Linked DNA regions of Stegostoma tigrinum. The protein of the gene in region 2 purifies or fractionates together with the protein of the main gene of each other region. This does not show direct contact. Links are inferred from orthologs where the notes say so. Each region holds a gene or a part of one and is shown on either strand. Other genes may lie near its edges.

Region 1 (7,440 bases), on a different chromosome or scaffold from region 2:
TAGAGGAGATTGTAGAATGACAAAGTTGATAGATTTTGACCAATTGAATAGGCAATTTGAAATTAATTGAGGTGATATCTTTTAGAGTATCTGTATTTGCAAGGGCAAAAAAGAGAGATTACATGGTAAAGGAATGCCAATTCAAAGCGTAAAAAGTTCACCGTGGAGTGGCTGATGACAGAAATCTTGAGTTACTATTGTCTCCAACAGCTTGTCAGATTGCCTTACACAGTCAGCGACTTACCTGAGGACTAAACTGAAGGAAGAAATCTTCTGAAGAAGGGTCTAGGCTCGAAACACCCGCTTTCCTGCTTGGTTCATCCAATTCTACACTTGTTATCTCAGATTCTCCAGCATCTGCAGTTCCTGCTATCTCTTGACTAAACTGAAAGTTCTGAGGAAAGGTCACTGGACCCAAAAACATAGACTGTTTTTTTCTCCTTCACAGATGCTACCAGACCTGCTGGGCTTATCCAGCAATTTTGTTTTTGTTACTAACCTTCTAGCATTTTGTGATAAAATTGTCCAGTTTTATTCCTCATCTAGAGGACTAATACAGATTTGTATCATGACAGTGTCAGTTGCTGCATCAAACAATTTGAAATTCTTACTTGAAATATCTGAGCAAGATGTTTTCTTAATGTTATTTTAGAACAGTGCCAAAAAGAAGTGCTCCTCAAAACATGTTTTAGGCAATGTTAAATTTAACAGGCAAGTTATTACTAGTGGCAGGTTTAGCTATAAAAATCAGTCAGCTTCTAACGCCGCACTGTCGGGCGAAAGGCTCTATCTGTTGATAATGAAATGTGAGGTTGGGTGAACACAGCAGGCCCAGCAGCATCTCAGGAGCACAAAAGCTGACGTTTCGGGCCTAGACCCTTCATCAGAGAGGGGGATGGGGTGAGGGTTCTGGAATAAATAGGGAGAGAGGGGGAGGTGGACCGAAGATGGAGAGAAAAGAAGATAGGTGGACAGGAGAATACAGGTGGGGAGGTAGGGAGGGGATAGCTCAGTCCAGGGAAGACGGACAGGTCAAGGAGGTGGGATGAGGTTAGTAGGTAGGAGATGTTAATGGTTTTTGCTCAAACTGGTTATGAGGTCGTTTAGAACACATCAGCTTCCCAGAGTACTTACTTGTACTGAAGTTGCACTTATGACTTAGAGAGGTTGAACTCCGCCAGTTTGCTGCATTTTTGTGTCTGCAGTGCAGTCGGAGAGCCGCAGAAACTCCCCTGGCGTATAAGCATGCACGAGAAAGCTGCAAATCAACAGAAACGGAGAAGATACAAGATCACTCCAAGTGAACTACGCTTGGACGAATGTTAAATTTATGTTTCTTGCAGACGTAAGAGAAGTAAAACCATAAATTGATAGTAGTGTGGCTCCCCAAACAAATTAAGTGAAATAATCAGAAATTCAGATCGCTTTATATCTTTCAATTTAACAAAACAAAAATGTGTTAAGGAGGTTGGGGGGGAGGGGGGGGGGGGGGGGGGGGGGGAAGAGAGAAAGAGAAGTGGGGGGGGGAGAGAGAAGTGGTGGGGGGGGGGAGGAGAGAGAAGTGGTGGGGGGGGGGGAGAGAGAGAAGTGGTGGGGGGGGGGGGAGAGAGAAGTGGTGGGGGGGGGGAGAGAGAAGTGGTGGGGGGGGGGGAGAGAGAGAAGTGGTGGGGGGGGGGGAGAGAGAGAAGTGGTGGGGGGGGGAGAGAGAAGTGGTGGGGGGGGGGAGAGAGAAGTGGTGGGGGGGGGGAGAGAGAAGTGGTGGGGGGGGGGAGAGAGAAGTGGTGGGGGGGGGGAGAGAGAAGTGGTGGGGGGGGGAGAGAGAAGTGGTGGGGGGGGGAGAGAGAAGTGGTGGGGGGGGGAGAGAGAAGTGGTGGGGGGGGGAGAGAGAAGTGGTGGGGGGGGGGGAGAGAGAAGTGGTGGGGGGGGGGAGAGAGAAGTGGTGGGGGGGGGGGAGAGAGAAGTGGTGGGGGGGGGGGAGAGAGAAGTGGTGGGGGGGGGGAGAGAGAAGTGGTGGGGGGGGGGAGAGAGAAGTGGTGGGGGGGGGGAGAGAGAAGTGGTGGGGGGGGGGAGAGAGAAGTGGTGGGGGGGGGAGAGAAGAAGTGGGGGGGGGGGGGGAGAGAAGAAGTGGGGGGGGTGGAGAGAGAAGAAGTGGGGGGGGTGGAGAGAGAAGAAGTGGGGGGGGGGTGGAGAGAGAGAAGAAGTGGGGGGGGGTGGAGAGAGAGAAGAAGTGGGGGGGGGGGGTGGAGAGAGAGAAGAAGTGGGGGGGGGTGGAGAGAGAGAAGAAGTGGGGGGGGTGGAGAGGGAAGAAGTGGGGGGGGGTGGAGAGAGAAGAAGTGGGGGGGGGTGGAGAGAGAAGAAGTGGGGGGGGGGGGGTGGAGAGAGAAGAAGTGGGGGGGGTTGGAGAGAGAAGAAGTGGGGGGGGGGTGGAGAGAGAAGAAGTGGGGGGGGGTGGAGAGAGAAGAAGTGGGGGGGGGGGGGGGGGAAGAAAGGTGACCTTCGCCAACTGGCTGCAGGAATTGAAGACCAGCAGACAGATTGTCAGTTAAAAACTGTGGCCTCCTGATGCTGCTCCAGCAAAAACGTGGAGCCATATCGCCACGTGATTGGGGTAAAGCAGTCACCACACGGGACGGGGTTAAAAACACAAACTCCAAGTCTCTTCAGAGAGGGAAAAGGGGGCAAGTAGACATTTCGTGCATCTAAAGGTATGGTTCACTGGGACATCTAGAGAGCGGCAAATGGCCACAGGCTGTCCAGCAAACATTGACGAGGCACCCGGTACTGACGAACAACGCCATTTGGGGGAGGTGGGAGAGGGAAAGAAAGCCACATTTCAGATATAACGAGTATTCACTACGACCGCGACACAAAGAAATGGAGAGAATTCCCCTTCACACACCCGAGTCACAGTCGCCGCCATCTTAGTGTCCACAGCCCCGCCCCCTCCAGGGGGAACGCTGGGCCGCTGTTAAAAATGACCATCAGTTATCAAAAAACACACCGAATTCAATGCTCCGAAAACAACACGCAAAGCCCGTGTTAAATAACATAGAAATAAAACAAACAAAATTAAACAGCGCCAGGACCCCGCCCACAGTCCATGCCGGATGTGATGTCACCAAATGCGCGCAATTTCCGGAGGAGCAAGATGAACTACATGCCAGGGACAGCTAGCCTGATAGAGGACATTGACAGTAAGGGAATGTATTAAATATTTATCATCGGCGAGTTGTAGCCAACCTCATGTGGGGTGTCGGTAGTAAAGAAGTGTATTTAATTTTCATTACGTTCAGCTGTAGTCAGTCTGGTGCAGGACGTTAACAGTAAGAGAATATACACATTTATTGTTATGCCTGGCTGTAGGCAGTCTGATAGAGGACATTGATGGTAAGGGCATGATGCTCAATTGTCATCATGTAGAGTTGTAGTCAGTGTGAAAGAGGCTATTGGCAGCAAGGGAGTGTACTCTCACTACCTGTGCTCAATTGTCATCAGTTCAAGCAGTCGCCAATCTGAGAGAGTTACATTGTCAGTAAGGGAATATATTCAATTACTGTCATGACAGGCTGTGGTCAGTCTGATAGAGGATGTTGACAGGAATGGAAAATACTCAATTATCATGTTGATCTACAGTTGGTCTGATAGAGGACATTGATAGTAAAGGAAAATACACAATTATCATTATGTTGAGCTGGAATCACTTTCGTAGAGGACCTTTATAGTTAGGTAATACACTCAATTATCATCATGTCAAACTGTAGTCAATCTGATGGAGGACATTTGAAAGTAAGGGAATAGACTCAATTATTGTCATGTTGAGCTGTATTCTGTCTGAGAACAATGATAGTAAGGCAATATTCTCACACTGTAGACTCAATTATTATCATTATCATCATCATGTCGAGATATAGTCAGTCTGATATGGGGCATTCACATTTGGGGAATAGACTCAATTACCACAATGTGCTGAAGTGATTCTGATAAGCAACATTGACAAGAATGGAATATGGTGTCATTCTCACAGTATTCTCAAATATTGTCACATCGAGTTATAACCAATCTATTTGCATAATTTGGTAGGGAATATACTCACAATGGACACTCAATTATCATGTCAATCTATAGTCAGTTTGCTCGAGGACATTGACAATAAGGGAATATACTCACATTGCATCACTAAAATCAAAGAAGATCTGTAAAATCTTTTAAAAGTGTTTAAAATGTAAACATTTGGCTGAAATAAATATAGGTTCTTTACAGGCACAGTTGGAAGAATTTATACTGGGAAATAGAGAAATGAGAGAGAAGCTAAATGATAAAATTTTGTCTGTTTCTCTGTGAACTTACCAGAAATCTCTCAGAAGTAGCGATCCTAGTGACTGAGAATGATAAGTTGAAAGAATTTAGAGTTAGTATGAAGATTGTACTTGAGAAATAATGGATTCTAAAGTTGATAAATGGCCAGGACATGAAACACTACATCACAGAGTGTTGAAGGAAATGGTTATAGAGGTAGTCATTGCATTGATGGTTTTATTCCAAAATTCTGTAGATTCTGTAAAGATTGCTGCAAGTTTGGAAAGTATTGAAAGTCATCCCACTATTTAAGGGACAGAGAGAAAACAGGGAAGTACATACCCTTTAACCTTACATCAGTAGTCAGGAAAATGCTAGAATCTAGTATAAACAATGGGATAAATAAACACTAGTTGATAATTACTTGGTTGGGCATGGTCCGGATGAATTTGTGATTGGAAAATTGTATTTCACAAGCTTATTGGCGTTTTCTGAAAATGGTACAATATGAATAAAGGAGAACTAATAGATCTAGTATATGTAAATTAAAATAAAGGGAAAAAATTGTTTACATCTTATTCAGGAAATATCAAAATGCATTGCATATTGTAGAACTCGTGTGAGCAAGTATATACAGACACTGAAAACTAATGAGCTATATTACCTGGTTAAATTATTGCCCATTATGTCAATTCATGGAATGGAACATGTTAGTCTTTTACACCTACTGTCAGCATCAAGCAATTAAATCAACTGTAACACAGAAGGGTGTATACTTAAGTTGTGTGGAGCCAGGTGTAGATATCTTTTCTATTATCTCCACAATGTACCCAATGATCTACAGTAAACTACACATGAGTTTAAATTTATGAATATGCCATTGGGCTGTGTTCATATTTAATTGTAATAATTGTAGGAAGTATAAATATATACAGGGCTAGACATCAGTGCTCCTGAGACTAATTTCCCACATGAAATGTAAAACAACCAAGACAACAACCAGTGCATAATGTTATTTTGAAATTATTTTTAAGAATTTGTATATTATAAATGTTGTCAAAATTTCCTTTTGCTGAATTTCTACATATGTTTGATTCTGTAAAATTAACAGACCACCATATCAATTGAAAATAGTAATGTATTTCATCGTTGTTTGCCATTAAAATTGTTGCACCACTATGAATATCATGACATATAAATATTCAATGTCAAATGAAACTTAAAATAATTGAGAAATATATGTCTTATGAAGGAAAATATTATGGAATTTATAACATCTATATGTGTATATTTTGATTTACAGCACTAGAAACTGCGAGTATTGCTCCAGTGACCCCTTTTAGTATTTCTAATAGTTTCACTTTTGCTTTTAAAGAATGACTTTTTAAAACAGAACTTTAAATATCAAGTGTTTATTTTTTAATAAGTCCATGTCTTGTAAATCTTCCTCAAAGAAGAGGGCTGTTTTTCTCATGTAAATTTTAGATTAATTCTTTAGTTATTTGATATTGGATGAGGTGGTATTGTCTTTCTTTCCAGACCTGATGGTCGTGTTGGAAAGCAATTTTAAATAAACGAAGGATACACTAAACTTTGGTAACTGCATCATACGTGGGAATAATGATTTTTCAAACTATTTGTAGTACTAAGACTGGTTTCCAGGATTTGAAAGGATACTTGTCTTTGCTCCCACATGAAAGGAACTTACAGACTGCAAATTCTGTGAATAGACAAATAAGCCTCAAGTCGTTATGCAGTAACATCTGTTGCTTATTTTTCATTCATTCGTGGGATGAAGGCATCGCTGGTAAGACCAGCAATTATTGCCCATCTGTAATTGCCCAGAAGGCAGTCAAGAGTCAACCACATTGCTGTGGGTCTGGAGTCACATGTTGGCCAGATCATGTAAGGATAGCAGTTTCCATCCCTAATGGACATTAGTGAATCAGGTGAGCTTTTTTCCCAACAATTAGCAATGGATTCATGGACGTCATTGTACTCTTAATTCCAGATTCTTTTAAAATTGAATTCAAATTCCACCATCTACCATGGCAGGATTCAAAGGTCCCCAGAACATTACCTGGGTCTCTCAATTAACAGTTCAGGGATAATACCTTAGGACATCGCTTGTCCAAGAGTTTAAAACTAAAGTTCCTATATACATATAAAGTAGATGAGAGTGTGTGTTTGAGCAAAGAATATTATTGAACGTCAGAGCTGTTATTGTCTTCCACCACCAATACCATCAAAATGCATTCACTGCCTTTAAGTCTGAAGCTAAAACTAAACAAAGTTAGAGAGGGTTTTGCCATACCCCATGGTCCAAATCTGAACACAATTTAGTGCATGAATAGAGGAAACTTTGGAAGTCAATACTCTTTTCAGTCCAAAGATGCAAAAGATTCAAAACTCATTTGTAAAATGGCAGTTCAGCCAACATTAAGAAGAAACAGGATGCTTCTTCTCATTTGCTTTATTCACATCGCACTTTTAGTGATCTACTGCTAAAGTACACCTTCTGAGAAAGAGATTTTGTGTGAGAAATGACTTTAATGATATGATAATAGTATAGTAGGGATAGGATTCCTCCCCGCCAGTTCACACCACTTTTGACACATACTCAATCATTTCATTTGTTAGTTTGTACTGTACTTTCTTGTGTTTCTCTGGGTTTATTTTGTAAAAACTCCTCACATCTAAAAACTTTCTGTTTTGGAACAAAGCATAATTAGTCATATGCATAATCTGTCAGATTTAGCTGATAATGATCATTATAACAGAATTTATGCTGTAAATATTGCCATACCTTATCCAGTTGTTCCTTCAGCTGATTGGCACAATTATTGTTTGCTATGTCTGACTGCTACTTGCAAGATGGCAGTGTGCTCCTGAGATGCTGCTTGGCCTGCTGTGTTCATCCAGCTCTACATTTTGTTATCTTTGCCTGGCTTGGCTGTTGTCTTTTTCCTACATAGGCAGAGATTGGTTACACCTTCTACTATCCATCATCCACAAGTGATTTAAAACAAATTCTGGCTAATCCAACTCTGCCCAGCACTAAACGTGTGCTTTGCAATGCCCAGTTGACTCTTCCCTGCATACGTATGGCAGCTCATTCCATACATGCATTACCCTCTGTGTGGA
Region 2 (7,345 bases):
ACTCAAGAAACCTAATGGATCTTTTCATTTAAAACCTAAAATAGATATGTTTAATTGGCCATCTCAGTAACTGAGAATTTCTTTTATGTTGAGACTGTGTAGTGGGACCAGAATGACAGTGTCCTCCTTCAGCCTTGGTTATAATAGTGCTGGGATGGGAAGGTCAAATTTGGGTTTTCCCACCCAGAACTTAATTTGTGCAAATTCGAAAAGGGTTCCACCAACTTCCATAATTAATTTCACGTGTGGCTTTGGGGCCTGCCACCTCTTGGCCTGGAACTTCAGCTTGAGAAAGATTCACTCATCATGAAATTCCACTCTCACTGAACACCTAGTTTTAGTTTTTAAACTCTTGTTCACAAATACTCTACATGACCACTTTATTAATGCCGTAAATCTTAACTCTGACCAATCTAAAAGCATTTTTTCTTCCACATGTTTGTATGCACTGTTAGTTCTAATCCATTGGTGCTGACCTACATTTCAAATTATCTCTCACCGGTTGATCCCTAAGCACAGGTTTCCTATTTTCAACATCAGCATTGTTTCAAATGCACTCAATGACTTTGACTCTGGGCAAATCCTATTATCTTTCTCCAATTCAGAAATATCTCCCGCAGATATATTCACGCGGGGCAGTCCTTCTTTCCATGAAGTCCCAAATACTGCAGTGCAGACACATAAGTTGCTCTACCATAACTTAGTCTGCACTCCTAACAATGTTTAATTCGTGGTATACATGAACTCACACGAAACATTAAAGGACTGGACAAAATTTGGAGTTACTTAATGTTAAGATATTTAAGCCACAGAAATAGTACAGTCATTGCTTCCTTTCCTGGTTCTCAATTTTAATAACGCCCCCTAGTGACGTTTCATGCTCTTATTGAAGGTTTTTGTTTATACATGATTGGCACTTCAGATTGATCACAAGCATTTCCACTTTAGTATTGATTTATTTGGTTACTATTACACAACATTATACAAGTAAAGGAAGCAATAACACTTGTTCCAGAGGTGAACAATAATACCTCTAACATGTTGGTTAGAAACTATCTACAATTTACAGAAAACTATTACACACCATGTTACCCAGAAATCATGGACATGATTTACAGCTCTCCTTTGTTTATTATTCATTTGTGAATAAACTTGTTAAGTATTATGTCTTGCTTTAAAAAAATAACAATTTTTTTCTATAGAAAGTGAGTTTGGGGAATTGATAATGAAAAATAAAGAGATGGTAGATGAATTGAACAGGTATTTTATAATGAATGTTCACTGTAGAGGATGCAAGTAATATTCTGGAAGATTTATAAGTCAAGAAATGCAAGAGAGGGAGGAATTCAGTAAAATTATGATTACAATTAAGTTTTGGAGCTGCAAGCTGACAAGTTCCTGGATCCTAATAGATTTCATCGTATGGTTCTAAAAAAGTGGTTGGTGAGATAATTGATGCATTGGTTTCAATTCTCTAAAACTCTCTAGATTTAGGGAAGGTCCTATTAGATTAGAAGATAACTCATGTAATTGTTTATTTCATAACGGGAGGGAGTCAGAAAGCAGGAAATTACAGACAAGATGCCTCATTATCACGTGATTCCTTGCCCCAATGTGATATTCCCCTACTGGACAATGATGAGTTGCAGGCCTACAATGGGCATTAGAGACAGGATAGCACTGATTTAGAGAGGTTGTTCAGACAAGATGTATCTTGGGACAGATGAATTATATGGCATGATGGTTAAACAGCACCTAGGTTGAGAGAATGGGGTTGTATGTGTGAGGGTGTATCAGACATGCTGGCTATGTGCCTTGGCCAGCATGACTTTGTGCCTGCTATGCCATTATATACGTGCCAGTGAGGAGTACTTGCCAAATCTTGACTAGCTGCATTGCAGCCTTTCAAAAATAGCATGCTCACAAGGAATGCTGGTTCTTCCGCCATATGGATGACATTCTAATTCACTGATTCACTGCAACTGAATGTGATGGAAGAGTGAAAGCAATATTTAAATACATTTTCATTCATGATGAGTTGGTCCAAGAGAAGTGTGTGGTAGGATGGGGTTGAAATTGGACCTAAGGGATGCCATAGAACACAATAGGTAATTAAAAAGGTGAGTTTGTTCAGACACAATGAGGGTACTTCTTACATTTTGCAGCGAATAACCTTCCAAAATCTTGCACAGCCCTGACACAGCCAAAAACAAAATCAGCCCATGTTATTCAAATAGTGAGAGATTGCAGAGCTCTGATATGCAGAGGGATCTGTGTGTCCTACTGCATGACCTACAGAAGGTTAGTATGCAGGTACAGCAAGTAATTAAGAAATTTAATGGAATGTTATAATTTATTCCATTCACTTACACATGACATTGGTGGAACCATATCTGGAGTCCTGTATATAGAATTGGTTACTTTATTTATGGAACGCGGTAGAATGCGTTGGAAGCAGATCAAAAAAGGTTTACCTAATACTTGGAACAGGCAGACAGGTTGTCTTATGAGTAAAGGTTGGACAAGTTAAGCTTGCATCAACTGGAGCTTAGACCAGTAAGAAGCAACTTAATTGAAACATGTAAGATTCTGGGGGGTCTTGATAGAGTAGATGTGGAGAAGATGCTGCCTTAAACAGGAGAATCTAGGCCAAGGGAGTCACTATTTAAAAATAAAGGCTTGCCCCTTTAAAATAGAGATGAGGTAAAAAAAATTTCTCAACAGGGTTGTGAGTATTTGGACATTTTACCCCAAAAGGCAATGAATTTTTAAGACAGAGGTGGCTTAATTCTTGTAGGAAATGAGGTGAAAGTTTATCAGGCTTTGGCAGTAATATGAATGTGAGGTTATAAACAGATCAGTTATGACATCATTAATAAATTATAGAACAGGCTCAAAAGGGCATGCAGCCTGCTCCTATGCATAAGTTTATCACGCAGTTTGTGAGACACTGTTTTAATCATCTACCCTTAGCACTATATCAATTCCAGAGATTGATCCAGAAAATTATTGACACCATAGAAGTATTAAAAAGGGTTAACTGTCATAGGGATGACATTCTAATTCACCGATCCACTTCATCGGAACATGATGGAAGAGTGACAGTGATATTTAAATACATTTTGATTCATATTCTTCATGCAACAGGCATTAAGTCTGACCCACAGAAGGTTACAGCCATCAATGCTGTCCCACCACTTTGAAATACTGTGGAATTGCAGCAAATCATAGGAATGGTTAACCAGGAAGGGACTTTTCTTTTACCAAATCTGGCAAAAGGAAATGAACTACTATAATAATTGCTTAGACAGAATCAAGCATGGTTAAATATGAAAGCCAGAGGTTGGTGATGGCTTCTTATTGCGTTGTCACTTTCAGTGTTTCTAGCAATCCATCCACTCCCAAATACACATGCTCTTCCATGTTGAAACTTCCACCAGCTTTCAAGATTCTATTTTCACTTCTTCACATTGCTTACAATCAGATGGTGGGTTACTATGCATTGTATTTGAAGTTTTAGCAAAGATTCATGTATACATTATGTGCTAATTCAGGCTGGGCTGGTGGACCTGATGGAGGGATTGAATAGATTGGGACGACTGTTTTGCATTTTTTTCATATTTGAGGATTTTGATATTTCTGTAGGAGGCTTGTAGAATTCCTATACGATTTTAGCATGTGTATCTGACACCTAGCTCTGATTGGTTGAGTTTTATATTCCTTTCTCAATATAGTTATTTTATCAACGAATTTATAACTTTTTTTCTCTTCTTGGAGAATAAATGAATTATTAAAGAAAGTAGGAAATCATATTTGTATAATGCCTTTCATGACCTTAGGTTTTCATAATGTGCTTTCTGGTCAATAAAACACTTTTTACAAAAGTAGTCATGAGGATATATGACATGTATTGGTAATCTATCAGGAGCAATGTTAATAGAAGAATGAACGCTGACCATGCAATAGGGCAGAACGCCCCCTTATTTTGAAATAATTCCCGGGGATCTTTTGGATGTAACTGAGAGGTTCCATATATCAACGTTTCATTATGGCAAGATTACACGTCTGGAATTTTAGCCTCAATCTGGATTATATGCTCAAACCAAGATTTGTACATTTCAGAAGCTTTATCAAAAATGTTTTGTTTGAATAAGTGTAGTGGCAGCGGGAGCCTGACAGAATGACCACTGAGTTTTCAGCATGACGGTTCCTTCCTTTGTCAGGCATTAACAAAAATAACTTTGTATAACTAGTTGAGGGTCGACTCATGATAGCGGGCTGGATGGCAAATTGCCAAATGTGCTTTGGGGCTGCGGCCAAGGGAGTGTCTTCCCTGCAGTTTTTGTCGGTCTGGCCTAGAGGTCGGCTTTGGACTTCTCAAAAACACTAATACCGACTTAATCTTTAGAAACAAGTGAGGCTGAACTTTCGCTGAAAAAGAAGTCATAGAAGGGCACACTCAACGTTACTGACAGCAGCACCCGGGTGATGAAGCAAAGTTACTTTTGGAAACTCCCCGCGGACTGAAACTTCCGTAACTCATTTCTGATTTTTCACTTTGAACGGCCAGTATTGCAGTCATACTGTGACCACTGCTGACGAAGTAACCGACGGGTTAAAGACTGGTCGTTCTCACAAGCCAACCAGATATTTATTTTTCTACGATCAAACATGAAAAGCGGTCAAAATTAGAACAGTCGATTAACCATGGCGGACTCGGAACCACTGGAGGGAAACCTGAAAAAGTTAATCGTTCGTCTCCAAAATGTCGAGCAAGGAAAAGAAATCAGCACTTTGCTTCAGATTTTAGACGACTTGATTCTCCTCACTACTGTTCAAAATGGTAAGTAATCGTCTAAGAAATTATATGTTTCAAAAATCCGTTATCGGAAGACGGGATGGACACATTTTGACATAAAGTGCTGATTGTTTACATCTTAAACAGCTTCGATTTTATTCGGAAATAAAAATGTCCACATGCCGTTATTGGTGGCTCTCGAATCGTTCACCGAAATTGCCAGTATCCAACAGGTAGGCTGTTTATTTACGTCTGGTTCTATGACTGCAACGAGTCGTGCAGATTGATAGTTTTATTTTCGTCCTGACTTGTCACCAGCCAAGTTCAATATAGGAGTGTTAAAGGAATCCATACTATTTGTTTTTGCAGTCCAACTGAAGGAAAAGTTTTATGAAAACGGTTGGCATGTATTGATTTCCAGAACTTAAGCGACCTGAATCAGCTGGTCACTTGTGCATGCCGCTGGGACAAGAGTGACGCACGCCCCTTCCTCACTCCTCAACTTGTTTAAAAAGTTAATTGCCAAATACTTTCTCTGAACATCATGTGCCTCTCATTGGAACTTTCCCCTTACTAAAATATTCTGGACTCAACTACATTTTAAGTACATAAGTCACTGTTACTCCTCTACTGAGACAGGATCTGAGAATACTTAAATAGACTTGTCAGCTATATTGCAAATACCCTATATCGAACAACACTTGAACAGCACAACATTGGCCTTTTGCAGGCCTTTGTGAGAACTCTGCATATGTGACAACACAGATAGCAATGTTAAATTAGTTTAGCCGCTATAAAACTTTTCCCAGTTGGGTTGGTCCGCTGGCTGCTTGATGCGGTTCAGTTGACAGGAACGCAATAAAAATTCAAAAAACTATCACTGTTTATTATTTTTAAGAAAGAAGGTTAGTTGAGAACTCAATAATTTGAGGCTATCTCTAACTTTATCCTCGACTTCTACCCTTGCATGTGAAAGCACTGGTGGAGATTTAGTCAAGGACTTATTGTGGGACTGGAACCACATATGGTCCAAACCGCATATTGTTTCCTTTTCTAAAAGGACTTTGTGACCCAGCTGGGTTTTATATAAGAGATAATGGGAACTGCAGATGCTGGAGAATCCAAGATAACATGGTGTAGAGCTGGATGAACACAGCAGGCCAAGCAGCATCCTAGGAGCAGGAAAGCTGACATTTCAGGCCTAGACCCCCGAAACGTCAGCTTTCCTGCTCCTAAGATGCTGCTTGGCCTGCTGTGTACATCCAGCTCTACACCTTGTTATCTTGGGTTTTTATATAAATCTGCTAAAGTTACAATCATGCCTGTGTGCAAATACCAGAAGATATGAAGTTCAGATTGTTCCTTCCTAGTTTAGGACTTGAATATTGCGGAAAACAAAGTAAAAGCTGCAAAAGATTTTTGAGACACTCCCGAAGACAGCAAGACAAGAACACTCCATTTCAAAATGAATGACAATTTATAATGCACATGAAGAGTTGCTTTTGACTGGTAAATCAACTCTAATTGGTCAAGGTATCCAGAAAATCTTGTTCCCTGACACTTTTGAATTTTTAAAAAAGGAAATGCTTGGACATCTGTTTTCCTGCAAATGAATACGTATCTTTTATCAAGCATACCTGAGCCACATTTTAAGACTGACTCATGATCTTTAAATTGGTTGCTTGCATAATTCTTAGTGCACTCAAGATTGGACAGCATTTACTGAGCAATCACTGGACTACATCCAGCATTAAACATTATCTTCTGATTTCTGCAAGCGCAGGCTAGTTGAATATAGGTGGCGCTCTGTTGCAAACATTCCATGGGAGGTGCTGGAATTTCTGCTGGGAGTTCAACATTGCTGTACACAGTAAAATTGGTCCATTCAGGAATCTTGTATATGGACCCTAAACCATTTGTTCAAGCTTGAGGTCAAAGTAGGATGCATCAAACCAACCTGTGGAATAATAGCTATTCTGTCATTGCTCGCTGTGTAATGCACAAACTTAAGTGTAGGTCTAGTGCTATCACTTTGCGACCTGAAACATGACAGTCTAACTCAAAGTACCTGAAAAGGATAATGATTCTCAAATACTTGAGCACCATTTCACTCTCCTGCTTATGCACTTGAACTATGAATGGTGTTTTGACCACGATGCTGTAATCAAGCCAAAGACTCTGGTGAATCATGTAATATATACACTTTGGCACCCTGATGATGCCTGGTAAGAAAGTTGTACGTCCTGGCAACTACCAGATTTTGCCAAGCAGGATCTGAATGTAATATGCCATCTGAAAGGTAAAAAGGTAAAGGTAAAGTCTCCATTGTCTTTATCAGTCCATATGATTGCTCGTGATGAGAGAGAGATGACTGGTGATGGTTTAACCTGAGGGTCACCACGCCTCAGAAAAGTTGAGAAGGAGAAACCTTTACACACCTGAAAGGTAGCTGCTATTAAGCAAAAAACCTTAAATATCTTTCCACATTTACCATATATTAAATAAGCTTTCTCAACTCTTTTTGAATTTTAGAAATAAAAAGGCTAT
Region 3 (7,077 bases), on a different chromosome or scaffold from region 2:
GTTCCACTCATTACAGCCTTGACCCAAATATGGACAAAATATCTGAACTGTAGAGGTGAGGTGAGAGTGACAGCCCTTTACATCAAGGCTAATTTCAACTGAGTGTGGAAGCAAGGAGCCCTAGCAAAACTGGAATCAATGTGTATCGAGGGCAAATTCTCTGTTGGTTGGAGTCATATCTGGCACATAGGAAAATGATTGTAATTGTTGAAGTCAGTCACCTAAGCTCCAGGACATCTCTGCAGGAGTGCCTCAGGGAAGTGTCCTAGGCCCAACCATCTTCAGCTTCTTCCTCAATTACCTTCCCTCTATCATTAGCTCAGAAGTTGGGATGTTCAGCACTACTCATGACTCTTCAGTTCTGAAGCAGCTTGCGTTCGAACGCAACAAGATCTGGACAATGTCCAGGTTTGGGCTGACAAATGGCAAGTGACATTCACATCAGACAAATGCCAGGCAATTACCATCTCCAAAGACAGACCGTCACCACTCCTTGACATTCAATGGTGTTAGTATCAACGAATCCCCCACTGTCAACATCGAGTTGTGACAGGCCAAAAACTCAATTGGACTTGTCATATAAACAGTGACAACAAGTGTAGGTCAGAGGCTAAGAATACTGCAGCAAGTAACTAACCTCCTGAATCCCAAAGCCTGTTCATCATCTACAAAGCACAAGTCAAGAGTGCGATGCAATACTCCCCATTTGCCTGAATGGATGCAGCTCCAACACTCAGCTTGACACCATCCGGGACAAAGCAGCCCGTTTGATTGGTACCGCATCCACTCCCTCCACCACCAATGCTCAGTAGCAACTGTACTGTATGAATTTTCTACAAGATGCACTGCAGAAATTCACTGAAGTTCCTTAAAACAGCACCTTCCAAACACAGGATCACTCCCATCTAGACGGACAAATATAACAGATACATGGGGATGCCACCACCTCCAAATTCCCCTCCAAACCACTCACCATCCTGACCTCAAACTATATCTCCATTCCTTCAGCGTCACTGGGTCTAGATCCTGGAATTCCTCCCCAAAGGCATTTTGGACCTACTTACACCATGTAGATTGCAGCAGTTCCAGAAGGAAGCTCACCACCACCTTCTAAAGGGCAACTAAAAACGGGCAATAAAGTCCCATGAGTAAAATTTTAAAAGTTAGTAGCCACTTGCAGAAATATATATTAAATGCTTTTAGCTGTGCGCCGATGATGCGTATTAGCTGGGAATTCACTGTGCCTCTGTAAATAGACAGAAACTGAAACTGTGGTTGAGTTACGAGGTGCTTGCTTGTGGCACGTAAATCTGTAAGTGTTTGTAAAAGTGCATAAACATTGGCTCCAGTACTATTCTGCTTCATTTGCTTTCTGGGATGTATAAATTCTGTCCCTTTATCTTGACTTAGCAATACATTTCGCTGATTCAACGTGCACGCAGGGAGTGGCACTTTCCAGGGAGCTGGCACTGTGGTTAAACATCTAATTAATTTGCAGAAAGCCAAGAACTGTTTCTGTATTCAGGATTGGCTATCATCGGCCTGGACACTTCTGCAGTTAAAAATACACAGCGCATGGGAGTTAGCCAGACATCACACTCTGACCTTTACCTGCTGCCGAAGACTTCACAGTGCAATCTCTATACTTCCGTGTCAGGCGTTTCAAAAACACGTCTCGTTTAAGGGGTGGGAGTTACTTCCTTTTATATCTTAGCTCTTTAAACAGATTTCTGCAAGTCCGCAAATAATCAGTGAAACGTCGAAGACTTTTACTGATTACACCGCCACACCAAAACTTCTCAAAACACGCTGTCAGTACTGTGCAGACTAGGTGCTGGGAAACCAGGTTAAGTGTCGCCTGCTCATATGGCCACACACGCATCTTGCAGTGTCAGGGTATTTACTATTCGCAGAACGTAAAACCAACAAGGGCGCTGGGAGCTTGACCACTCAGTCAAGGCGGAATCCGGCAGAAACGGGCACGTTTGGAGATCAAGAGCAAACCAGAGAGTCAGTGGAGCGTGGAGAAACAAAAACAAAATAAGTGAAAGCTAAAGAGGGCGAACAACAAAATCATGGCAGTTTCCGCTCAACGGACTACTCAATACCACAGACATCAGAAAGATTAAACTGGGGAGGGGGGGGGGGGGGAGAGAGACACACACACACACCAGAAATCATCTGGTTTCAATCACATCTGAATCACATTACTGCAGTGGCGCGGACACTGCTTAGCCTTTTCATTGAGCAGTTATTACAGATTTCACCCAATAGCCGAGGGTTAAGAGCAGCTCTCACGCGGAACTCTGCCTGCCTTTTGAGTGAACAACATGACAATACAGACCGCGGGTGTCCATCTGCCGGCCTGGAGACAACACGCAGCACCAAGAGAAAGATACTGCCACCCTCCTCTACAGCCACTAAACTGCCCGTGCAAAGGCACTCACAGCGAGAGGGGGTGAGGACAGAACCCCAAACTCCACCTCACACACTCCAGATAAATCAGAGAGCCGCTCATTCTCTAGCATCCTCTCTATTTCCGACCTACAGCTGTATTTTGTGTTTGTAAAGCTGTTTAGTTGCCTTTGTTTGGGTCAAGGGGACGGTTTTGTTTAAGAAACAGCTAGGCAGCCGGACCAGCTTCTTTTATCCCAGGGCATAAGTTAATTTCGGTTGAAACTCGGACCCTACTCCAGTGAAACGTTCACTTCAAACACGCGACTTCACCATCCCCATTCAGTTTCATAGCCGAGATTCCAAAACCCCGCTACATCTTAAAAGAGCTCTGGCTCGGGGTTTCGCCCTCTCGAACCCGGCTTTCTTTGCATTGGAGAGAAACCGTGGTGGTGGGGGGGGGGGGGGGGGGGTAGAGCGTTACCTTCAGTGTGAAACTGTGTGCAACTCCGAATCCTTCTCTGTCCTTTGTGCACAAGCTAAAAGAGGACAAAGCCTGACGGTGCTCCCGCTGCTCGGCTCTCTCCCTGTCTAACTAACCCCAGACCTAGTGAAGCGTGCTCTCCCCTCCCTCTGTGTCAGTCCCAGCCTCGGGCGGGGTGTGTCTCACTCAGGCTCTATGCTAATCACCTTCTGCTGTTGCTCTCCCCGCCTCTTGCTCCAGCACCACGCACCAGCGGCACCAGGTGAGGGCAGGCTACTATAGCCGGGGGCAGAGAGAGGGAAGGGGCTGCAGAGGCGGCACAAGGAGCAGGATGTTCCTGGTGAAGAGATAAGCTGGATGCAAGGCTTGAGAGATCTGCGACCCCAGTCTGGCGATTTAAATAGCAGAAATCCCTTTCGGGTTTATAACGGCATTTATACTTTTGCCACTTCAGTGAATGAGATCAGAGGGAGAAACATTAATGCGGGGACCCCCACCCCCGCCATTATCCATCTGGGTGAATTCTCGGAGTTCGTGTCTATGACTATAGCTATGACTAAGGCGCGCACACACACGAAAAAAACCTGTGGATTGTCAGGTAATGCTGCGCTGACAGAGGTGCAGTCCTTAGGAGAAGCAGACCGGCCCAGATTTTGTGATGGGCAGATTGACGTTAGAGCAATGCAGCCTGGAGTTAGCGCGTTGGACTGTGTGTAAGCCAGACACAGTGAGAGTTGAGCGGGAAGTTGAATTTTCTGATGGGCAATGTTCCGGCATTTGGCAACCCTCGGGAAAAAGTCCGTTAAATGCAAAGAATGTAGAGGGTTCCAACTCAGTGACCCTAATAGTTACCAAGGAAAAGTTGGAGGATTCAAACTCCTGAGTAATTATTCAACTGAATGCCTAACTCACTGTTCACCTTCCCCCACAACTATCCCACTCCCAACTTCTTACAATCCTCGCCTCACCCGCTCCTCCCAGATCCTGACAACCCCCAATCCCTACACGCCCCCTTCCCCAAACGGAACCTGTTGATCAAACACCCTTCACTCTCAAACTATGGCATTAGGACTCAATAACACCTCCCTCACACGCTTTTCTCCCCGTCACACCTGCTCGCCTGACATTCCCAGGCAAGCTCACTATTCCTGTGCATGCCCACCTCCTTGCCATTTCCTTCTGGAACTTCATCACTTACCTTGCACCCTAACCCTTTCGCCAACTGTCACCATAACCCACCCCTACCTTTCCAGAGGAGCTGTAAAGGTAGCGGTGCTGCTGGAGTTTTTTTGTAATGACAGAATACAGCGCACTGACTGCTGCAAAAGTTGGTATGGTTTCTATGAAGATCGTTTTCGCTGCTGGATTCATCGATACTTCCCCTAACAGGATACTCCTGTCGAAAAATCTCCAAGGCAGAAGCTATCGGAGGATCAGCGGGTAATTTTAAATCCGAGCAGGGATAGAAATAATGTTTCCAACTGTGATCAAAATATCTGGACCATTGATCTGATACTCCATCTTCTCTCTGATTCCATTGTATTGTACTGAAGAGGAGTAGAGGTTTTATCCCTGGAGTTCTGGCTGATATTAATCACTCATTTACCATTATTGAAACAGATCATCTGGCCATTATCGACAAAGCTTTTTATGAGAGCTTGCTGTACACAAATTTGCTGTGTTATTCATCAGTTGCAACACAAGTGACTACACTTCAAGATGCTGCTTGGCCTGCTGTGTTCATCCAGCCTCACATTTTATTATCACACTTCAAATATGCTTACTTAGCTTTAAAACACTTTGCCAAATAGCGTTATATAAATTGAAGTCTTTTTCTATACCTAAATATAAATATATTCACGAGCCCTTTGGACATTTTTTAGGTCAATATTTCCCCTTTGTTTCTTTTCTTTCACAAACAATTCTGAAGGACGGCATGCTTTCCAAAATTTTGTCTGTTTCTGAGTCTCCACCGTAAATGACAATCGGCAGTTTGCTCCTGAAGTGCATCACAACTTGCTCTCGTCTTGACAATACAGAACATGGAAGCTGGAACCCAATCTGTTTTCTCATCTTCCATCTACTAACTGGAGGAAGGCCAGTTTTAACATCAGTATCACCAAACTGACTGAGATTTGCAAACAAAAGAGAGTAAGAGACCAATTGGTTCACTGAACCAAAGGAATATTAGGGAACTGTAAAATCACTCAGTGTCCTACAGTAATATTTATAGGAAACTCCCTTGGCCTCCAACTAAGTTGCTTGGGATTCCTTGGGACAACATCATTCAACTTCTGATTGTGAAAACCTACAGAGTCATTAAATTCGAAGGAAAATATATAGAAAATCCTGAGATGTAATCTGTATTGTTTAAACTGGCACACTTCAATTTTTAATTAACAAATACTCTTAGAATACAGAAAGATGAATGACAGAAGAGGCATTTTACCCATTAAACCTGTACTTGTTGTTAAAGAGCTGTCAAAATTAATTCCGCCTACAACACTTGGACTGTAGTCCTGTAGGTTACACATGGCACCTCAATTTCTTTTCAGACCATTTTTTAAACACAAGGAGAATTTTGTCTCTGGCACCCTTTCAGGTGGTGAGTTCAAGGCCTTCTGAGTGAAAAAAAATTCTCCCCAACCCTAATTCTTTCACCAATTACTTTGTCATTAACAATCTAACCCTCCTACTTATTGACCGCTTTGCTAAATCTGCAGATTTTTCCTATGCATTCTATTGAAATCTCACTGTAATTGTATACTCTTCAACTGAACCTTCCCTCAGCCTTATCTGATCCCAAAAAATGTTCACTTAAAAATAATATCAATGTTTTCCTTTTTGTCAGAATTCTCCATTCCTGGCAACATTCTTGTCATTCTCTTCCAAACCATCTCTAACAATGTCATACCTTTCCTGCAATATGGTGGGCAGAATGATGGCCCAAATACAGCTGAAATCTAATCCATGTTTTAAGGAGATATGGTTTTTTCTTGTTCACTGGAGGGAGTCGCTGGCTGGGCCAGCATTTGTTGGCATCCATAACTGCTTTTGAGGGAGAGGTGGCAGTTCCTTATTGAACTGTATGGTGAGCTGTAGGGAGAAATAACAAGGTCTAGAGCTGGATGAACACAGCAGACCAGGCAGCATCAGAGGAGCAGGAAAGCTGACGTTTCCGGTCTGGACCCTTCTTCAGAAATGGGAGAGGGGAAGGGGGCCCTGAAATAAATAGAGAAAAGGGGAGGTGATGCTTGAAGGTGGAAAGAGGAGCAAATACGTGGAGAGGAGATGGACAAGCCAAGGAGGCGGGATGAAGCCAGTAAAGGTGAGTGTAGGTAAGGAGTTGGGATGGGGGTCGGTCAATGAAGAGGGAGAGAAGACAAGGAGGCAGGGATGAGGCTAATAGGTAGGAAGTAGGGGTGGGCATTGGTCAGTGAGGTGGGAGGTGCAGATAGATGGGAGAAAAGATGGACAGGTCAAGGAGGTGGGGATGAGATGGGCTGGTCTTGGGATGAGGTAGGGGGTGGGGAGATTTTGAAGCTTGTGAAGTCCACATTGAGACCATCGGGTTGCAGGGCTCCCAAGTGGAATATGAGGTGCTGTTCCTCCAGTCTTCGGGTCGCATCGTTGTGGCACTGGAGGAGGCCCAGTGTGGACATGTCACCCAAGGAGTGGGAGGAGGAGTTGAAGTGGTTTGCCACTGGGAGGTGTTGTTGTTTGTCACAAACTGAGCGTAGGTGCTCCACAAAGCGGTCTCCAAGACAGAGTCCCCTCCCACTCCTTGGACAACATGTTGATTCTGGTCCTCCTCCAATTCCACAACGATCTGCTCCTCTATCCACCTTTGCCTCTTCCTCTCTCTATTTATTTCACAGCCCCCTTCTCCTCCCCCATTTCTGAAGAAGGGCCCAGACCCGAAACATCAGCTTTTCTGCTCCTCTGATGCTGCCTGGCCTGCTGTGTTCATCCAGGTCTACATCTTGTTATCTCAGACTCAATCATCAGCAGTGCCTACTATCACTGATAATCCCCTAAATGCTCTTTTACTCCAAGCCTCAGGCAATAAAAGGAAGTATTCTGCATACCTGCTTTATCATTTTGTGTTCTTTCCAATTACTTTCAAAGATCTGAAGCCATGCATTCCCAAAATCTCGCTATTCCTCTACATTTCTCAGAATTCTACCACTTATTGCACA
Region 4 (7,979 bases), on a different chromosome or scaffold from region 2:
TCACTAATATTGTAAGTGAATGCAATGTGCATTCATATACTATCATTAATGTAATTAAGTGTTATCAAGCAAAGTTTCACAATATAAATCGGAGTAAGTGTAGGTCATTTGGCCCATCATGCCTGTTCTGCCATTTAATAAAATCATTGTTGATCTGATTACATCTTAACCCCACTTTCTTGCCTTACCTGCATATCCTGCGATGCCCTTGCCAATCAAAACCGAGCTCTGAATTCATCCAATGACCCAGTGTCCACTGCTCTCTATGGAAGAGAATTCCAAAGACCAAATGCCCTCTGAGAAGAAATTTGTCCTAATTTCAGTCTTAAATGAGAGACTCCTCATTTTTGAATTGTGTCTCCTAATTCCATGTTGTTCCATGTAAGAAAACATCGTCCCAGAATCTACCCTATGAAGCCCCATCAGAATCTTATACCTTTCAAATTATAATTATCTCTCATTGTTCTAAACGCTAACGAGTTCAGGCCCACCTTCCCAATGTTCTCAGTCTTGAAGACAAATCCTAATTCCCAGAATCAACCTTGTGAACATCCTCTGTACAACTCCAAATGCAGATTTACTCATCCTTACATGAAGAGACCAAGACTGCTTACAATACTCCAGATGTGGTTTGGTCAATGCTCAGAACAACTGTAGGAAGACATCCCCTTGCAAAAGGTCAACATTCCATTTCTTTCCTAATTATTTGCTGTGCCTGCATATTAATGTTTTGTTATTTAGATACAAGAGTACCTAGAATCCTCCGTACTGCAGCATTCTGTAGTGTCTCCATTTCTAATAATATTCTGACTTTCTATTCTTCTTGCCAAAGCGGACAACCTAGTATTTTGTCACGGAACATACCATATGCCATTTGTTTTGACACTCACTTAACCTATCTATATACCTTTGTTACCATTTGTAACCTCCTCATAACTTGCTTTCCTTCTTTACATAAACAGTAAATCTGGCTTCAACACAGTTGGTTTCTTCATGCAATTAGCACAGACTATACATAGTTCAGGCTCCAACAGTTATTCCCGGGAAACCCACGAGCTACTATTCACGACTTGAAAGTGACCCATTCATCCTGACTCGCTATTTTTCTGTACCCACCATGTTCTGACATCATCCATGCGCTCTAATAAGTTTGACAAATGCACGTTGCCTTTCATAAAATCATACTGACTCTGTTTGACTGAATTAGGATTATCTAAATGTCCTACTAAATAGGATCAATTAAGATCATGAATCAGAACACAGGCCAGAATTAAAGAAACAGAGACATTTCGCAGGGTTTTAGGCAGAGGGAGAAGGTATTTGAAACAAAAGGTGAGAATTTTAGAATCAAGTCATAACTTGACAGGCAGCAATGTCAGTCAGCAAGTTTAAGGGTGAGGGGTAACAGGACTTGCTGAAAGGCAAGACACAAGTAGCAAAACAACTAGGGTTTAGTAATAAATGCTGTTTTGGCAGCATTGCTCATATCTGGGGGAATAAATAACAAAAACACTATCTCCCCTCTCATTTCAAGTTCCCAAAAGATCTATGCTTCAAGCTGTCATCTCTCTTACAAATACCATGCTGTGATAAAATATCTTACACGTAAGGAACCATTTATCTCTTTGTAATTTCCCTTTTCATTGAAATTTAATCTTAAATGAATCAATTATTCAAATGAAAAAAACAAATTGGCTCCTGTCATAAACAGTTTCCTCACTAGTGATTCAAATCCCATCTTTGGGAAACAGAATATGGGAACACAAGAGTTTGATGCAGGAGTAGGCCATTCAAATCATCATGACTGACCTGGTTGTGATCTGACTTTCCTGACTGCCCACCATAAACCTTGACTGCCTTATCTATCAAAAATCATTCATCAATACATTCAATGACACAGCCTCCTTTACCTTCTGGGAAGAGAATTCCACAGGCTGACAACCCTCTGAGAGAAACCTGGTTTGGCTGCCTCTTTGATTTTGAACCATAGTTCTGAAGTATAAAAGTCATCACACTTACAGTCACGCAACATTGCCCATTTCCAGCATTTTCTCAGCTCTCCTCCACTCACTCCCTTATCGACCCTTCTGTCACCATCAAATGAGATTGTTCTAGTGTCCCTTCTCCCATCATCCATCGTCACATGCCACAAACTCCCAAGTGGTTGAATCCCAGCTGCCTGTCTTCTGTCCCACACTGCTCCATCAATCATCCTGTCTTCACTAACATACTCTGGCTTCCTTGTCGCCAGTGAGAAACCTCCATGAATTTTACTTCCCCTCTGTATTTCTACAATACGATTCAATCTTACGACCTCTAAATATGACCTGATCTTTTCCTTCATTTCTCTCACTACAGCAGAAACCTCATCCACCTCCACTCTGGCGCCTGATACTCCCTGACTACCCCCTTACTTTGGAAAGCTCCTCAAAACTCAAACAACCTTCAGTGACCTCTCCTGAACTGTGCAACATGGTTTCAGTATCCGTTCCTACATTTGTTCACTTCCCCTGCAGGGGCCGTGGATTGTTTTGCACAGCTATCTTACAAAGACACTTAAAAATTTCAAATAGAAGACAAAACGCTATTTGAAAATCTGAAATTGAAAGAAAAATATGGCGGCGGAAATACTTAAACTAGTCGAAATGAAGACTCTGGATAAATCCCTTACGATTTTAACTCCCCAATGAAGCAGATAGTGTGAATGAGTGACAGCTATTGGTCTCCCTCACAGTCTCCCCAAACCCGCCGACAGCCGCGGCCCCAACTTTCGATCCTCGGCCTCCATACCTGTGTCCCCACCACCACGATTTGCGGCAACTGGATGATATCGGCCCCGACCGTGTTAAACACCTCCTGCAGCTTGTTAATGACGGGAATCAGCGCCTCCATCGCACCGCAGTGATAGCAGAGCGCACTGACTGACCGTTGCCCCACTTCAAACTGTCACCATTGCCTGCCCACGGGTTGGGGGAAGGATCTGTCCGCCTCCTGGGCTCGCCGCCGACGCCAATCAACGCGCACGCGCAAAGCCCTTGCAGTACCGGGCCGCCGAAATGGTCGCGTACTGCTCTCTGGGAATTGTAGTTCACTTCCCCAAACAGCAAACCTCAGTAACAAAGCCTTAGACTACAATCCCCGTCAACTCCTTCGGTAACTCTTCAAACTTGCTAGGATGTAGGCTATTTTGCTTGTGAATCTGTATTTGTACACTGTATACTTTTAGTTAACGCCTTCTACCTGTCATACTGCATAAATAAGGAAAATGCAAACCTTAATTTATAAATGTTTCTGTAATATATCAATGATATACTCAAGAAAAATCTACTTGAAGTGAAGACTTTTTAATACCAAAAATGTGCCTTCTGCTCAAGATGGAATAGATACATTTGAAATTAGAATTTGAAACTTTGAAAATTACATGGTATTTAAAGGGAATAAAGTGAGTAAAGAAACTAATTTGAAAAGTTTTGGTTTTGTTTCCAACTAATGTAATCTAGGCCGTTTCGCTTTTTAGTATGGAGGAGGTAGAACAGAGAGGAAATGACCTGCATCCTCAAGAGACAGGAAAGTCTCCATAAACACAAACAGAAGACAATGTGAACAGATAATTGCAAAAGTTAATGCTAGAGAATGTAGATTGAGAAACAGTTCACCACTGTAAGATAAAGAGATAGAACTGGAAGAAACAAATGACAATAGCAAAATTACCTTCCTCATTTCCTCATACTTGTTTGTAGGCTTTAACATGTTGACTACACATCCACCTCTAATTTCTGTCATTGAGCTGGATGGAACTACAGTAGCCTATTTACATCCTTATCTACCCAGCCAAAGCAATAAATTAATATGACAAACTGATACCTAGGTATCAAGGATCCAAGGATCTATTCTGGGCCATCTTATTTTATATCTACGCGCTGACCCTAGGTGACATTCTCTGTAAACAATGTCAGGTTCCACATATATATTTATGACAGAGCTCTGCTTCATTACCACCTGTCTCAACCTGTTTGACATCAAGTACTGGATGAGCAGAAATTTCCTCCAGTTATATAGGTTTCACTTCCATCTACAACACCATTCTACCGTTCCAATTTCACTTCTCTCTAGCAAACATCTAAGACTGAACCAGACAAGTGAAGCATTGATGTCATATTTGAAACAGATGAGCTTCTGTTCTATGCTAACACTACCTATTTTCATCTTCAAGCCAACCAATTCCAACACTGCCTCAGCCCATCTACTGCTGAAACTCTCATCTGTACTTTGAGACTTTTCAGACCTGTTTATTCCAATGATCACCTGTCCAGCCTCTCTCTGTGCTTCTCACACAAGAAAATTAAAGATTCGCTATCATTGTACCAATGCCACTGTCAATTTGCCTATTACTCCTGTGTTCATTGACCGACGTAACGATAGCCGGGAATGCACTACAATAAAAATATTAACTCAGCAAAGGGTTCTGTTTTGATAACTCAAGTGAATTATTGACCACTTGATTGACATCTTAAATGAGCTATTAGTTGTTCTGTTTGTGATCTCTTTTGTAAATCTTTCAATATTTATTTGGGCAAGATTAGGATGTGAAGTGTTGATGTCTGACTGACATTTTTACATGGTTACAGGAACAGCAGCTTTTGGTAGATTCACTAGCCAAAGAAACTATTTTCCAAATATCTATCCTACCAAACTCCTTAAGAATTTTTACAAATTTTACTTATGTCCTCAAAGGAATGTAGTATATGTATCAATTTACTACTTCGATTCTACACTAAAATAGCAGGAAAGATTCTCCAATGCAGTATATTTCTAACATTAGAGTTCCCAGAGAAATTAGATAGGCTCTCTAACCAGCATGCCTCTAAGTTTTCCCACTTCTGTGACCACCAATACTGTCTCAAGGGTCTTTACTCCCAACTCACTCCTGTATCTACCTTCCCAGAGCAAAAAGTGTGCATTGGGGTGTATTTTACTGAGGCAGCGCTCACAAGCTGGGAAACTGTTACAATATAAGAGGCTATTCAGCCCTTCATGTATGTGACTTTCTGTAATATCAACCTGGGAACATTCCCTTCCATCTGCTACACAATTCCTTTCACCATAGTCTGTAAATACTTTTCTCATCAAATCACATTTGAATCTGTCCTTACCACACTCAGCCAGTAATCTAATGTAAGAATGTTTTTCATGTATTTTTATTTCCATTGTTTGTCTCCTTAAATCAGTGCCTTCCAGTTATTGTCACTTCTGCAAATAGCAATATTTTTTAATCTACTCTATCCAAACGCCTAATGATTTTGAATACCTTCCTTTATTTTCCAATTACAATGAAGAAGTGTTTTGGAATTAGTCTTTTTTTAGTTTCAGATAAAACAAAGATCTGTGACCTGTCTGAGTTTGTCTAGCAGGCCAGGAAGAAGCTGGATATGAAATCAATTTCTGTGGTTCAGCGTACAACAATGCTGTGAAAAACAGCATTTACGAATGAGTAGGTTAAATTCATCGGGAGTTAATTTTGAGACTGGAAATGTTACCGGGATTAGGCTAGAGGGATGATCTCCAGGGAAAGGAAACCTCACCTCACAGTACAAGACAGTTCTACGATAAGAAGACACCAGGTTAAGAAAAGAAAACAAGAATAAAACCTCTTTATCCAAGAATCATCCTGGATCGATAGTGGGAGAAAATGAATATCCATGCTAAGTAAAATGTAAGTATAGCTGGAAACTGTGTTTCTTCAGGTGTGCCAAGAATACAAAAGGAGATATTCTGTTCTCTGGTTTAAAGTATAATTGCTTCCAATGATAGTGTTCAGTTAATAGTTTTTAGTAATTTATTGCAATAAATGTCTTAAAACATGAAGCCTGAACATGCCATTTCCTCAGCTCATAACTGGTTGTTCAAATTTTTGTAAAAAGAAATTCAGTCTCAACCGGGATAGGAACAAACTTTATCACATTTCCAGCCAGCGTTCTCCAAGGAGGACCATCCCAACTTCTCCAATCTATCCATTTCGTAGAAGGCCTTCACTATGGAACTGTTCTTGTAATCTCTTCTGCATCCTCTCCAATACCTTCAGATTGTTTCTAAAGTATGCCCACAATTAGACATATTATTGTTGACAGTCAACCAGGGTTTGCTTTTATACAGAAGCCTGCAATTTATAAAGCTCAAGATCTTACTCAGGGTGAAGAAAATAAATAATAATTCACTTTGGGAGTTGGCTAGACCTTGGAAAATTGTTGACCATACTAGTTCCATTTGTCTTGTTAATCGTTTCCCTCAACACTACCTGCCATCATCAATGATTTGTACACATATAATGACAACTATGTCATAAGAACCCGTGGTATTAGAGACAGTATATTCTTATGTATAGAGAACTGATTAATGGAAGGAAATGGTGAATGGCGATAAGAAATTCTTTTTCAAGTTTGCGGCCCATAACCAGTGGAGTTCCACAAAGATCAGTACAGGGACCCAACTTCTTACAATCTAATATTAATGACTTGGAAGTGTACTGTAGCCAATCTGCCAGTGACACAAGAATAGGTGGAATAGCAAGTTGCGAGGAGGATAAAAACTGTCTACAGAAAGATATTGATATGTTTAAGAAAGTTGGCAAATGCAGTAGTCGTTTAGTTTTGGAGAGAACAGAAGAACAGTATTATTTAAATGGAGAAAAACTGCAGAAAGCTAGAACACAAAAGAACTTGGGGTACAGATGCATAAAATACTGAAAGCTAGCATATCAGTTCAGCAGGTAATCAGGAAGGCTAATGAAATGCTGGGCCTTATTTCAAGGAATTGTGAATCAAAGAGTAGGGAAGTCTTACTGCAACTGTGCAAGGAACTGCCAACACTGCATCTGGAGTACTACGTGCAGTTTTGGTCCCTTTATTTAAGGAATGATATTATTTTATTGCAGGCAGTTTAGATAAGCTTCACTTGGATAGTCCCTGCTATGGAGGGATTGTACTATACGTAAAGGTTAAACAGGTTGGGATTCTATTCATTGGAATTTAGAAGAATGAGAAGTGACTTCATTTGAAACATAGGGAATTCTTAAGGGATTCGACAGGGTAAATGCTGAGAGGATTCTTCCCCTCTTGAGAAAGTCTCGGACCAGAGGGCATGGGCTTAAAATAAAGGAGAGGGCAATTTAAAATTGAGACGAGGAGAGGTTTCTTCTAAGGACTTAAGTCTTTGGAACTCCTTGCCCGTAGAAAGCTGCAGGGCAGAGTCCTTATGTATATTTGATCAGTTGGGAATGATGGGTTTGGGGAAAAGGGCAGGAAAGTGGATGTGAGGAATATCAGATCAGCCATGAACCTAGTTACTGACAAAGCAAGGTCAAGGGACCGAATTCTTATTTGTTTTTTTCCTTTAGTCTTAAATCTGTCTGCATCCGTACCTTTATACCCTTTATCTTCTCAATCCCCTTATCAAAATGTATCACTTCATACTTTTCAGTCAATTGTCCGCAATGCTTCTAAATCTTCTGTCATCTGTACCCTATATCCAAAGGCAAAGTTATTGATACAGATCTAGAAAAGCAGTGATTCTAAGACTCCTGAAAAACCTCAGTTCACGTCCAGTCTGAAAAGCAACTGTCACTCAGTTATTTTATACCTACACGACCATTACCCCTCTTAATTAATGTGCAGTAACTTTGCTGATATGCCTGTTCTGTGGCAGTTATTTGGAATTCTTTGGGAAGTTGATACATAGAACATCTACCACATTACCGTCAAAGATCTTAACCAACTTGGTTAAAAAATAATTTCCTTTTAAAAAATTAATTCTACCTTTCCTTTCTCTTTGTCAAAATGACTTAGTTTTGTCTTGAATTATTGTTTCAAAAGGTTTTCCCACCACTGAGGTTAAGCTGATTGGCCTGCACTTGCCAACTATATGGCCCTTCTGAAACATGACAGTTTGATGATTTTGCAGTTCACACTGCTCTCTCTTTTTTC

What was found.
Region 1: the proteins of lrrk2 (region 2) and prdx3 purify together in Homo sapiens (co-immunoprecipitation; 3 studies listed by BioGRID and IntAct, with this or other methods). This does not show direct contact. The link is inferred for Stegostoma tigrinum from reciprocal best matches to the Homo sapiens genes LRRK2 and PRDX3.
Region 3: the proteins of lrrk2 (region 2) and myo1b purify together in Homo sapiens (affinity purification with mass spectrometry; 3 studies listed by BioGRID and IntAct, with this or other methods). This does not show direct contact. The link is inferred for Stegostoma tigrinum from reciprocal best matches to the Homo sapiens genes LRRK2 and MYO1B.
Region 4: the proteins of lrrk2 (region 2) and dnm1l purify together in Homo sapiens (co-immunoprecipitation; 6 studies listed by BioGRID and IntAct, with this or other methods). This does not show direct contact. The link is inferred for Stegostoma tigrinum from reciprocal best matches to the Homo sapiens genes LRRK2 and DNM1L.

What each region holds. Positions count from the first base shown.
Region 1 is NC_081373.1:25,473,567-25,481,006, forward strand, and holds the start of prdx3 (thioredoxin-dependent peroxide reductase, mitochondrial), read right to left. Parts: upstream 3,014-7,440; 5' UTR 2,921-3,013; coding exon 2,900-2,920; intron 1,259-2,899; coding exon 1,135-1,258; intron 1-1,134. Other genes in the region: U6 snRNA-associated Sm-like protein LSm1, read left to right, coding at 3,101-3,194. UniProt on the Homo sapiens protein: Thiol-specific peroxidase that catalyzes the reduction of hydrogen peroxide and organic hydroperoxides to water and alcohols, respectively. Plays a role in cell protection against oxidative stress by detoxifying peroxides.
Region 2 is NC_081378.1:38,590,809-38,598,153, reverse strand, and holds the start of lrrk2 (leucine-rich repeat serine/threonine-protein kinase 2), read left to right. Parts: upstream 1-4,327; 5' UTR 4,328-4,707; coding exon 4,708-4,843; intron 4,844-4,945; coding exon 4,946-5,031; intron 5,032-7,345. UniProt on the Homo sapiens protein: Serine/threonine-protein kinase which phosphorylates a broad range of proteins involved in multiple processes such as neuronal plasticity, innate immunity, autophagy, and vesicle trafficking.
Region 3 is NC_081360.1:35,473,992-35,481,068, forward strand, and holds the start of myo1b (unconventional myosin-Ib), read right to left. Parts: upstream 3,014-7,077; 5' UTR 2,879-3,013; intron 1-2,878. UniProt on the Homo sapiens protein: Motor protein that may participate in process critical to neuronal development and function such as cell migration, neurite outgrowth and vesicular transport.
Region 4 is NC_081371.1:18,785,522-18,793,500, reverse strand, and holds the start of dnm1l (dynamin-1-like protein), read right to left. Parts: upstream 3,014-7,979; 5' UTR 2,893-3,013; coding exon 2,791-2,892; intron 264-2,790; exon of another isoform or gene 195-263; coding exon of another isoform or gene 189-194; intron 1-188. UniProt on the Homo sapiens protein: Functions in mitochondrial and peroxisomal division.